Linked DNA regions of Cricetulus griseus. The protein of the gene in region 2 purifies or fractionates together with the protein of the main gene of each other region. This does not show direct contact. Links are inferred from orthologs where the notes say so. Each region holds a gene or a part of one and is shown on either strand. Other genes may lie near its edges.

Region 1 (4,112 bases), about 230 Mb from region 2:
CCTCAAGACCTTGATCATCAGTAAATGAGGAAAATACCACCTGCTGGGTCAGCAGCATACCAGAGTTGTGAAGACAAGGCACTTCACAAATTGGGACATACTGGGCAAATGTGAGACCCAACCATAACTACCTTCAAGGGCAAGAGACATATGCCTCAAGAATGTGCAACATGCATCACAAAGGTGACTGCTTTCCATCGTGGGAGGCTTGCATGCCTAGGGCCACGGCCACTGCAGGGTGACTCCAGGTCCTTTCCTGGCCTGAGCATACCAGTGTTCAGAGTTAAGAGGTTCCTCACCATCCAGACTGAGCAACTGGATCAACAACATAGTGCTGATGGTGCCCTGCCCTTGTACCAATGCCTATGGTGCCGTCGTTGCTTCCTAAAACTCACAGCCTGCCTCCATTCTGCTCACAGACTATCACCCCATCCTGGTACTGTTTACAACTAGTCCACATAGGCATGGCCCTGCCAACTTCACACGATGGTTTTTGGATTAACTAAGATGACAGATGTCAAAATAAATAATGTATTATTAAAAACTCCATTCTCATTGCTGTCACATCGCCACTGCCACCAAATGAAAGGGGAAAGGGGAAGAGGCACAGCTCATTCATCAGGGTTCTAATGCCTGCAGAAGACACTCAAGGCAGGGCCCAGTAGGAGAAATGCATTCTGGGGAAAGATTATCCAAATATGGAGAGTTCTAGAAAAAGGCACCACCTCAAACTTTGCAGACCTCACACCTGCACAAGACTCTCATGGCTGTGGCTGCCCAGAAGAGATAGACAGTGCCCTAGATGCTAACTGCAAGCCTCCCCCTTCTCTTCCCTTGAAGTTTTGTCATTTCTGAACTCATTTCGTCCTAACTGCCGCTGCCCCTAGACAGCCCTGGCTGACACTCGTCTAGTTCCTGTTTTGAGAAATCTGATTGCAAATGTCTTAGAAAAAAAGGGGGGGGCAACGGCCTCTTCGAAACGCAGACCAATTTTTCCTCTACGGGCCTGATTCTCAGTCAACCCGAAACCCAGTAAGCAGCCACTGGAGGAGGGGCATGGTAAGTGTACAACAGCATCCCTGTAAGCTGCCAACCCTGCTCCAACAACTGGGGCCACCAGAGGCCTATTTCATACTGCCCACATTTCACAGAGGTAAAAATCAAGGTCTAAAAGGAAAAGAACTTGCCCCATGTCTTGTGATAAGAGTATGGTGGTAAAGTCAGGAACAATTCTTGGCTGCTAAAGGGACTGTCATGAAAAACTTCTGGGACTGACCTCACCACCCATCCACCATAAGGCATCCTGATGTGTAGAAGACACATCTGCTTTTCCAGACGCAGGACATCCAGGCCATCCTTCAGGTCAAGACAGTGAACAAAAGATACAACTAGAAGCCCTGATGTGGAGGTTGGGTGACACTGAACAAGCCATTCAAGGGGGAGCTGTACCCCCGCCACACACACACACACAAACCTTGTTCTATGGGCACAAAACTACACCTGTCTCACTCACTCTCTGGTCTCCTGTGAGTTCAAATGGGAAGGTAAGTCTATTTGCCACAATATACTGGACAAACCCCAGCTACACTTCTCACATCCTGCCCGATTCTGCACCCACATCCTGAACAGTTTAAACTTTGATACCAGGTGCAATGACATCAGTTGTCTTGCAGAAAGGTGGCAGCACGGTCCAGCTACTGTAGGATGGGCTGTCCCCTCGTCAAAAGTACCTACAAGGCACCACATGGGGAGAAAACGGAGAAGGGACTACCCTCACCTGAGCACAGCCCCGAGGGATGGTAGACACATCACACAGCACTGTCCCCCCAAAGTACTCTCAAATCCAAGCCAGGGGCAGTGACACTACCAGATGAGAAGGCAAAAAAAAAAAAAAAAAAAAAAAAAAGTCTCCAGACTGGTCCTCCCTACTCCACAAACCGAACAAGAGTGTTACCCACTCTGAGGGGAGTGGATAGGACAGTGGAACGCCAAAGAGGGGGGTGCTGGGAGCAGGAGCAACAGACTGGGTAAACAGAGGCAGACCTGGGGAAAGGAACCCCAAGGGGACACAAAGGGTGGAGGGCAGAGTCCAGCACCCAGGGTGGGAAGACAGCTGCAGCAGAGCTAGGGGCTGACAGCGACCAGGCCCAGCAGTGAGATACAGGAAGCGGTAGCGCGGCCGGGAGAGCGCGATGGGAGCTTGGAGTTGGGGCGCTCCGGGCTCGCAGGCACCGGGCCTTGCGGTGGCAGGGAGAGAGGAAGTCCCCGGGTCCTGGGGCGGCCCGGATAGTGGGGTCTCCGGAGCAGAAGATCCGGGAGTATGGGGGTCCCCGGGTCCTGGGGCGGCCCGGATAGTGGGGTCTTTGGGGCAGAGGGTCACCGGAGCAGGGGGAGTCCCCGGGGCCTGGGGCGGCGGGGAGAGAGGGGTCCCCGGGGGCATGGTACCCGGGTCGGCGCGTGGGGCCCGGCAGAGGCGGGCTCCTCACCTGGGCTCTGGAAGCAGGATCTTCTTGCTGGCGCGCGCGGCCGGCGTGGCCTTGCTCTTCTCCATGGCCATCAGGTAGCTCACATCGGCCAGCACCGCCTCCAGGTCGGCCATCTTGGCGGCGGCGGCGCTGTTCCTCCCGCCGCCCGAGGCTCCGCTCCGCTCCCGCTCGCTCGGCCCGGCTCGGCCCGCGCGGCTTGTCGGCCTCGGCGCCGCCGCCGCCCCGTCCGGTCCCCGCTCGTCGCCTGCTCACAGGCGCCGCCGCCCCATGGCGCCGGCTCGGGCCCGGCCCGGCTCGCGCTCCGCTCCCGCCGGGACTGCAGTCGGGGGCCGCCGCCGCCACCACCACCACCACCCGCCCTCCCTCCGCCCGCCCGCGCCCGGAGCTGCCGCCGCCGCCGCCGCCGCCTCCGGCCCCGCTGCCGCGCACAGCGCCAGCGAGCCGCCGAGGGGCCGAGCCGGGCGGGCGGCGGGCAGGCGGGCGGCAGCGCCCCCTAGAGGCCGCGCTGCTCGGGTCCGGGACAGGGACGCGGATCGCAGTCCTGGGCTGTTACCTGAGTCCTGCACCCAGGACTCCGGGACGACCCTAGGGGATGGCCACAAACTGGGATCGCATCTCCTCAGGAGGCTAGACTCCATGCTCCCAGCAGGGCGTGGACCCCAGACCGTGGACGATAATAAGAATCCTGACACCGACCAAGATCCCAGACTCAGATTTCAGAACATTTTCTCAGGATCACACTAACATAAACACCTCGGACCCCAGACCTCGGGTGACAATACTATGAACATTTTGCTGTTGTTTTCCTTATTTTTAGACAGGGTATTGATTGCCATGTAGTCCTTGGTGTCCTGTAACTCACCACGTAGACCGGGCTGGCCACTAACTCACAGAGCTCTGCCTGCCTCTGCCTCCCAAGTGCTGAGATGGATTAAATTGTGTGAGCTACCAAACCACACTCCGATGAGGGCTGAACTTTTTTTTTATTCCATTATTTTTTATTTACTTACTTATGCACATATGGAGGTCTGAGGACAGACAATTTGACAATCAGTGCTCTCTTTTTTTTTAACCACTTGGGTGCCTAGGGATGGAACTCAGATCCTCAGGCCTGGTGGCCTTCTAAGTGCCTCCTTCTATCGTAACCAACTACTGCCTATTCTGTCCTTCCATTACTTGAGAAGCAGAGGCAGGTGTCTTTCTGTAAGGTCAAATCCAGGCAGTGCTAAATAGTGAGACCATATCTCAAGCAAACAAATGAAAAAAAAAAAAATTAGGGGCTGGAGAAATGGCTCAGAGGTTAAGAGCACCGACTGCTCTTCCAGAGGTCCTGAGTTCAATTCCCAGCGACCACTGGTGGCTTACAACCATCCGTTATGAGATCTGGTGCCCTCTTCTGGTGTGCAGACATACATGGAAGCAGAATGTTGTATATATAATAAATAAATAAAATCTTTAAGAGCACCTTTCTGATTTCCAAACGTGCCTGGGCTCTTCAAACCCAGCTCTGGACACTTAGAAACTGATTCTTGTTCCAGTTCACAGACCAGCAAAACAAGTACCCCTACTTCCTTTGCTCTTCTTCACTGCTTTGGATCAATACAAATCAGATGGGGGGGGGTTATC
Region 2 (4,118 bases):
ACAAGTCCTTTTCTAAAGCAGGTCCCCAACCCCCCAAATCGAAGAACGTGGATAAAAGACCGGCACACACACCCCAGGGGGAGCTCCCGTCGCCCCTCCCATCAAACCTGCATTCTTTAAAAAAACACATTTCTTTCTTGCAAGACTGCCAAACACAGCCTCCCCCCGAATAATTCCATTTAAAAAGTCCCCATCCGCGAGGAAACATTAATCTACTTTGCAAACACGCTTTCCAGTTTGTGCTTTACTATTTTTTCTTCAATCCCCCCACCGCCCCCTTTTTTTTTGTACCTTGAGACAAATGTTTTTTTCCCCCAGAGTTGAAAGCTGTCCAAAAACAGGACCACACACGCGGCCGCCTCCGCAGGCCTGCGCGGCGCCCGCCCCCCGCGCGCCCCGGGGGCGCGCACACTCCCTGCAGCTAGAGGGGTGGCCTTGCCCTCCACCCCCTCTCCTTTCTCCGCAGACGCGGTGGGTGGGTGGGGGGAGGGAAGGAAGCCTATCCCAGCATCCCAGATCCAAGAGGCCTTCCTCCGGCCGCTGGCACCCTGGCCAGAGCCAGGCGGGCGGAGCTGGCGGACCTCAGGGACCACCCCCCTTCGGCCCTGCCGAGTGGTCCGTCCCGCGCAGGGGCCTCGCGCCCCCGCCACTCTCTCCCACCACACCTAGCAAGGCGCAGCGCCCCGAGTAGATTACAGCGAGGCCTTTGTCGGGCGGGCCTGGCTGCAGGCCAGGCATGCAAACAATAAACAGTCGCCCCTGGTGCGGGCAGGGGCTTCGCTGGCCACGGCGAGGCTCTAGGTGCAGGCTGGCAAATATCTTTATCAAACACTGGGAAGGGAAGGAAGACAGAGGACGCGCCAGCGGCGCCGGGGTCTCTTACCTTCCACCCACAGCTCCTCCACGTTGGTCTCGAGATTAGCTGCCTTTAATCCCACAGCGAAGGCCCCAAATATGAGGAGACCCACAACCAAAAACTTGCCGCAGTTTTTTTGAATGTAACAACCCAGTTTAAATAAGAGTCTCTGAAACTTCGCTCTCAGCCACAGCGGTGCTTTCCGGCCGGTAGCCTTCCCCTGGGGACGAAGCAGAAGGGAGGAGTGAACGCCCGGGAGTCGCTAACGGCGGCGCACACCCGCCTGGGGATCCCCCCCCCAACAGTGGGGGGCGTGGGCGGCCGTGGCGCAGGGACTTGCCCTCGGGGCTGGAACCAGGACTAGTCAGAGGGAGCCCTGGAGGCGTGGGGGACTAGGTTGTAAATTAGAGCGAGGCTGCAGCGTGAGAACTGCACTCTAGGTACCACGGGGTATCCCCACGCATGGCCTGAGCACTTTCCTGAATGAGACTTGGGGTGCTGGGGAGAGAGGCTAGCAGAGGAACCGCCAAAGACAGGCAGGCACTAGTATCGAGGACCTGGAGAGAGAGGGCCTGAGTGATCCTAGCTGAGAAGCCCAACACTAAACCACCAGGCCACGACTGCCCCCTTGCCCTAAATCCGGCTCCAGCCTTTGGCCTCCTTGGGTACCCCGGAGGGCGGGTGAAGAGCGCAAGCACACTTAGGGACAATATAAAGCTACCGTGGCCCACCTGGCCCCCGGCCTGGCGGGTGGTTGCACGCGGGGGTCCACGTGGTGAGCCCGGCAGCCGGGTTCACTCCACACACTTTTCCACGGCCTTGGGAGACTCCGCGGGAGCTCAGTTAGGAAGTGCAGCAGCCATCTGCAACTTACACTATTTGTGCTCTGAAGAGGGCGGCCATAAGGATCTTTCCCTCCTCTCCCACTCCCTCCTGGTGAAATCTTTTAAAAAAAAAACAGCCGAGTATACGGGGAAGAGGCCCAGGCTGGCGCCGGCGGGGGTCCTGACTAGGCGCAGGCTGCTGTCGGGATGGCGGAGCCCTGGTGCTGGCCAGGGCCCCAGCGGGCCCCAGGCTAGGTGCTCGCCTTCCCTGGATTCCACACATTTCAGCCAGCCTCGTAAACACAATGAACCCGGCCGTTCCTCACACCAGCACCGAAGATTTAAGGTGGCAACTTGTTTACAACTGCCCTTCTCCCCGGCAGGCTGGGAGAAGAGGCGGCCCAAAACCTGGAAGAGAGGGGACGTCCTCTCCCGAGAATAATTTTTAAGGGAGCAGAGATTTCAAGCTCAAGGAAAGCAGAACCGGCTGCCAAAAAAGGAAACCACCTTTACTTTGGCTCCCTCCCCTCTGCCTCTCTCCGCCTCTCTCCACTCCGCCTCCACCACGAAGAGGTTAAGAAATGTGGCAACGCGGAGGTTTACGCTGCAACGGAGGCAGGGGCGCGGGTGAAGGGCGCTGAGGCCGGGGGCAGTGCTGCACTGCGGCCGCCCTGGAGGTGGTCCACTCAGGACGGTTTCCAAAGCTCCGGAAAAGGCACACCAGGGAGGGCGTGTGCGCGCGCACACACCACACACGCACACACACACGCACGCACGCACCCCTCCACCCCCTGCGGACCTCAGACAGCCCTTTCCTCCGAAGTCCGGAGGGAGGGTTTGAAATTTTCAACCTTCACTTGTCTTCTGCTTTCTCAGGAGGGTGTCTGTGTGCGTGTGTGGCAGGGATCCCAAAGAGGAAGAAGAGGGAAGAGTGGAGGAGGAGGAGGGAACAGACATGCACCTTGGAAATCTGCTCCAGAGCGAAGGCGGCGTCGCAGTAGCTGGGCCGGTGCAGATAGTCCCGGTCCGGCGCGGCGCGATGCGGTCCCCCGGTCCGTCTGCGCCTCCCGCCGCCGGCCTGCCTGCCCAGGGCCCCGGCGGCGTTACCAGCCGAGGCCATGTTGCCGCCGCCGCCGCGGGCTCCGGGCGCGCCTGGGCGCTCGGCTCGCGAGGACGCTGCTGGCCGCCGGGGACTCCGGCTCCGGGTGACAGACCCGCTGCTGCCGCTCACACGGCGGGCGCTGCGGGTGCTGCGGCCGTGGCCGATGCCGGGGACTCAGACCCTGCGCCTTCCATTGCCACATTGCGCGTGAGTCCCGAGGTCTCTGCGGCCGCTGCTGCCCACATCCAGCTCGCGGGAAGGCGAGAGCCGGCGCTTCCAGGGCGCGCCTCGCGGTCCCCAAGTCCCCCCAGACGTCCCCGCCCCGCGCCGCGACCCCTTCACGGCAGAAGGCGCGCGCAGACCCCCGCCACTCGCTCTGGGTCCCTAGGCGCCCGCTGCCGGCGACGCGACGGTGTCCGGCGGATCTCAGCGATGCCGGGCCGGGGCAGCCGCTGCCCCCGCTGCTGCTGCTGCGGCTGAGGTTGGCGGTGGCGGCTTCTGAAGCGGCTGCTCGTTCTCGGACTGCTGGGTTCGCGGTGGCTGCTCGGTCCCGGACTCTGCTTTCTTGTTCTCCTCACCGACCCGCTGGACCATTCTGCCCCCGCGCTGCGCGCCTCTCTCGCTCCCGGGACCTGGGGACTCCGCTCTGTGTGTGTGCAGCGGGCAGCGGCCGCAGCAGCTCCTTGACTCAATAGATGAGATGGAAGAAGAAAAAAAAGAACTCTCTCCATTTGGAGAAAGAGGAGGAGGAGGGGAGGGGGTGGAGGGGGAGAGAGCGAGCGAAAGAGAAAAAGGCTGGAACTCCCGCCCCCGGGGCTGTCAGATGGCTTGGGTTTCTGCGACGCGATTGGCTCGCGGAGGGCAGAAATTACTCAGCAAACATGACTATTATTAGCTGCTTAGCAACAGCTCACCAAAGTAGAGAGACCACCCAGGTAGGCAACCCCCGTGTGTGCATCCCCGGCTTGGGGGGGGGGGAGGACGGACTCGCTCTGCGCCAACCTTCTCTCATGCAATACTTCCATTAAGGAATGCTCCCCTCCTTTCTTTCTTATTTCTTTTCTTTTCAACAGTGTCTTCTTTTTGTGAGACGTCTTTTGCGAGCGCGCGCGCAAACACACACGCACACGTTCACACATACAGGAGCATTTGCCTCGCGATAGACACGGGGGATATGTAATTTTTTTTTAAGCGCTTAAACAATTTCTGAGATTCCTCAAAGAAAACCCTTTTAGAGACATTTTGGCCTCAAGCAGCAGCAAATACTGGGAGGTCCGCCTTGAATTCCCAGGCCTCCACCAATAATGACAGGGCGGTGGATAGTGCGCCCGTGTGT
Region 3 (4,246 bases), on a different chromosome or scaffold from region 2:
TTGCTTAGCTGTAAAAAACACTTGTTTTTGCCAAGGGCTAGAGTCTAATTTCTATGCAGGAACCAGGTAACTCAAAATTCTTGCTCCAGGTTATGATGCCCTCTTCTGCCCTCCTTGGGCATTGCACTTAAGTGCAAACCCCTGCCCTACATATGAAAAATAAATCTTTAATTTAAAAAAAAAAAGAAAAAGAAAATTTCAGAGCCAGGCATGATGATACATGCAGTTAATCCTAGTACTTCTCTGTGAATTGAAGCCAGCCTGGTCTCCACAGCAAACTGCAAAGCCAGCCAGGCAGGAATAGTGAGATCTGGATTCATAAAAAGTTAAATCCAAATTTAGACTAAGCCAGTTTAAAATAGGAAGAACTGGACAAGAAGGGTAAAGGTACCAAGCCCCACAACCCATGTGGTGGAAAAACTGACTCAAAAGGTTGTCTTCTGACCTCTACAAGTATGCACTCACATACAAAATACAATGTGGTTTTTAAGGAGCCCTTTCTACTCCAAGGTAAGACCAGAACTCAGATCCTAGCACCCACCTTGGGTGGATGGGTGCGAAAGCACACCCATGTAAAAGAAAGTCAAAAGGAAAAACAGATAGGTAATAAAGCTATTCATCAGCACCAGGTGGAATTAATTCAAACCACGATAAAGCTTTATTCAGGTGAATACAAGCTCTTCCTTAATTACAAAGATGTTAGAGAAAGTGACATAAAGTAAACTGATAAGAACTGTGTGCTACATATACCGGGCAGTGATGGTGCACACCTTTAATGCCAGCATTCGGGAGGCAGAGGCAGGTGGATCTCTGTGAATTCAAGGCCAGTCTGGTCTACAGAGTGCCAGGATAGGTTTCAAAGCTACAGACAAACCCTGTCTCAAAAAACAAGAAAACCAAAACCAAATCAAACCAAAGAGCTGTGTGCTATGTAGCTCAGGCTGGCCTTGAACTTTCAATCCTCCTGCTTTAGCAAAAGTGCTAGAATTGTACCATCACACCTACGAGTAAAATTTGGTGAGGGTGTGTGTCTGTGTTCAAGAACTGAATATGCACTAACAGACAGAGAGCTACAATCCCAGCCAAAACTCCACCCCCCCCCTTTTGAAACAGGGTCTCACTATCTATAGGTCTGGCTGACCCTTGTTATGTAGACCAGGCTCGCCTTGAACTCAGAGACTCACCTGCTTCTACTCCAGACTGCAGGGATTAGAGGTGGCACCACAACACACCCTATTTAACTCATCTAATTTTCTGCCTGAAAAAACTTTATTCTTGTAACAGGTTTATTAATTTAGTGGCCATATTAGGGAGTAGAAGATTCACAAACACATCTGTGTTTCATTCAATTAATTCCGGACAGAGTTGAAATTACAGAACAACAAAAACCTTTAGTTCAGGATGCTACACACATAAGAAAGCAATGAAAAGATCTGGCCTGGTTGCACCATCCCAGCACTGGAGAGGTGGGGGCAGAAGAATGTCAAATCAAGGGTACCAGGGCTACAGTGACAGAGAAAAATGATGAATGATGATGTCCACCTTTGGTCCCAGACCAAACCTCTGAGTTCCAGGCCAGCCAGGAGTACAGTCAGTCTACACAAAACAAAATCCCACATTTATCCTCTGCCATCTGAATTACAGCTAATACCTACTCCAGAGTGTGTAAATAAAAAAGCTTTGCTGAGCATTCAATACTCAAACGCTACCAGTGTGTAGAGGTCAGAGAAGAAGACTTTTTCATATGCTATGTTTACCAAGATAGGTTCAGGAGAAAGCTTTTCCTCCATAACAGGTTCAGGTTCAGGTTCAGGCTCAGCAAGTTCCACCTCTGGCTCACTCACAGGAACCTTCTCCTGAGGTTTTGGTGGTGGGATTTTAGCTGAAACTTTTCCAGTAACTGAGGTTTTTAGTTCCTGTGGAGGGAATGAAGAAAATAGAATGTTTTCCCAAGGGTGACAGCTGGAAGACGGGCTGGTTCAGGATAGCTGAGCCAAGAAGATAGTTACCTTTTTCAGAGGCACTCTTGCCTGTGCCTGTTCGCTGACTTTGTTACCAATATCCCCTAGAGCGGTTCTCGGTCTCAGCCCGGGCTTGGAGGCTGCAGCAATCGCCACAGGCACACGCTTGGCGCCTGTCATGCTGACCTTGGCCTTATTTTCTGTGTTAAGTTTCGTGTTCTGAAAAAAAAGTTAAGACCACTTGAGAGAGGATCTATGGCGGCTCCAGGAAGTCATGGGTTAATTAAGGCGCGACCCAACTGAGGCTCCCTGAAGTAAAGCCAGAGTTTCAGGGTCTAGCCTGGGGACGTGCCACGCAGAGTTTCCACCCAGATTTTCCACATTCATCTATATTCAAATTCCTCTTATGCCCTAAGCCATCCTAAAGACCGCGAATTTACATCGGAAAGGAAACCACGAAAGCCGGAGTTGTGGACATCTCTCTGCGAAGGCGCGGGGCTCACTCTGGGGGCTCCATCACTCAAGTACACCCTTCACTCCTCCCAGTCCTTCAGCCCGGATAGACCCAGTTGGTCGTCCGCTTCCCCACCTCGTCCGGGGCACTCCGGGACCCCACCCCCACCCCCGCATGGCCGTAGCGGTCTTCTCCCGCGGCGACGACAGCAGCTCCCGTCCGGCTCACCCTAGTGACTCTGAGCGCCATGGCTCCTCCTGAAGAAGAGGCTCGGCGACCAGCAGCAAAATCCCTGGCCTCTAGCGGGCCACGGCCAGACACCAACAGCCGTTCCTCCGCAGCACGCCGGGAGGAGTCTGCCGGGCCTGGGTTTAAACCCCGGGCCGCTCCCTCCTCATTGGTCCGTTCATGGCACTCGCTCTCTTCCCATTGGCGCTGCGAGTTCTCGCAGAATGCGTTTCCTGGGCGATCCCGCGACCACGTTCGGCGGGGGCGGGGCCAGAGCGAGGCTGCGGCCCCCGAAGCACCGCCCATCGGGAGCTCGGGCTCCGCGCCTGCGCACTCGCTGCTGTGCAGCCACCTGCTTTAGGTAGGCATGGAATGCACTGCCCACTAGTGTGCCATCCTGGTTAGCCTGGGAGATTGCTTTGGGCCTTAGGGAAAGACTGTGGAGCCGTCACGGTTCAGGAGCACGCACAACAGTTTGGCTGCCCCTCTACTCACTGTTCCTCATCCTCCTCTTCTACAGAAGTGCAGATGCTATCTTAGAATTCCTGAAAGGTTTTGAGACAGAGATGGTCCTTTATTTAATGTGATTTTTTTTTTTTTCCAGTCGGGCGTTGGTGGCGCACGCCTTTGATCCCAGTGCTCCGGAGGCAGAGGCAGACATATCTCTGTGAGTTCAAGGCCACCCTGGCCTACAGAGCGAGTTCCAAGACAGGCTCCAAAGCTACACAGATAAACCCTGTCTCACAACTCTTCGGCTTGCAGTTCTCCATCCTTCTACCTCAGACTCTTTATTAAGGCTTATTAATTTTAGTGATTTTTCCCACATTTATCACTAATAAATCTTATTTATTTTTGACCAGGATCTTAAGCACAGCTTGAGCTGGAACTGCATATATAGCTGAGAATGACCTTAAATCTCCTATTCTCCTCCCTCCACCTCCTCAGTGTGGGACACTAGGTGTACACCACAGCACTGGGTTTATATGACACTGGGGATTGAACCCAGGCTTCAAGCATGCTGGGCAAACACTACCAGTGCAGCTGTATCTCTAGCCCTCTAGTAATCATTGCTATGCAAATTATTATAGTTAGTAAGCAAATACTATATCTTACCATAGTCTTATCATAGCTCACACTGGCCTGGAAGACTATCTTAGACTGGCCTTGGAGTTTATAGTGGTCTTCCTACCTTAACTTCCTGAATGCTGGGATTAAGGGAATGTGCCATCACACCTGGCTAGGACTTTACTTTTAAGAGTAGTTTTAGGCTTTTAGCAGAACTTCACGGAAGTCCAGCATTTTACTGCCCAGCCTCCTCTAGTATTGGCATAGCACGACAGTGAGGTGTGTGTGGTGAATCATACCAGTAATCCTAACACTTACGAGGCTGAGGCAGGATTGCCACGAGTTCAAAGCCAATCTGAGCTATACTGTGAGTTCCAGGTCAGCCTGGCTTTGGAATGAGACCTTGTCTCAACAAAACAATCACCTGCTCCTAACCAGGACATCTATATCAATGCTGTCAGGGCTCAGGGAATATTGTGGGAGAGACAGTAGAAAGAAAGCAAGATTTGGGAGATAGGAAGGAGTTATGTAACAGCAG

Evidence for each region. The genes of interacting proteins can lie anywhere in the genome.
Region 1: the proteins of Ptch1 (region 2) and Grk2 purify together in Homo sapiens (affinity purification with western blotting; 3 studies listed by BioGRID and IntAct, with this or other methods). This does not show direct contact. The link is inferred for Cricetulus griseus from reciprocal best matches to the Homo sapiens genes PTCH1 and GRK2.
Region 3: the proteins of Ptch1 (region 2) and Ccnb1 purify together in Homo sapiens (affinity purification with western blotting; 3 studies listed by BioGRID and IntAct, with this or other methods). This does not show direct contact. The link is inferred for Cricetulus griseus from reciprocal best matches to the Homo sapiens genes PTCH1 and CCNB1.

What each region holds. Positions count from the first base shown.
Region 1 is NC_048596.1:54,951,817-54,955,928, reverse strand, and holds the start of Grk2 (beta-adrenergic receptor kinase 1), read right to left. Parts: upstream 2,801-4,112; 5' UTR 2,600-2,800; coding exon 2,487-2,599; intron 1-2,486. UniProt on the Homo sapiens protein: Specifically phosphorylates the agonist-occupied form of the beta-adrenergic and closely related receptors, probably inducing a desensitization of them. Key regulator of LPAR1 signaling.
Region 2 is NC_048596.1:281,140,543-281,144,660, forward strand, and holds the start of Ptch1 (protein patched homolog 1), read right to left. Parts: upstream 2,801-4,118; coding exon 2,642-2,800; intron 2,085-2,641; exon of another isoform or gene 1,731-2,084; intron 1,077-1,730; coding exon 884-1,076; intron 399-883; exon of another isoform or gene 292-398; intron 1-291.
Region 3 is NC_048595.1:319,292,145-319,296,390, forward strand, and holds the start of Ccnb1 (G2/mitotic-specific cyclin-B1), read right to left. Parts: upstream 2,801-4,246; 5' UTR 2,665-2,800; coding exon 2,644-2,664; intron 2,181-2,643; coding exon 2,010-2,180; intron 1,917-2,009; coding exon 1,758-1,916; intron 1-1,757. UniProt on the Homo sapiens protein: Essential for the control of the cell cycle at the G2/M (mitosis) transition.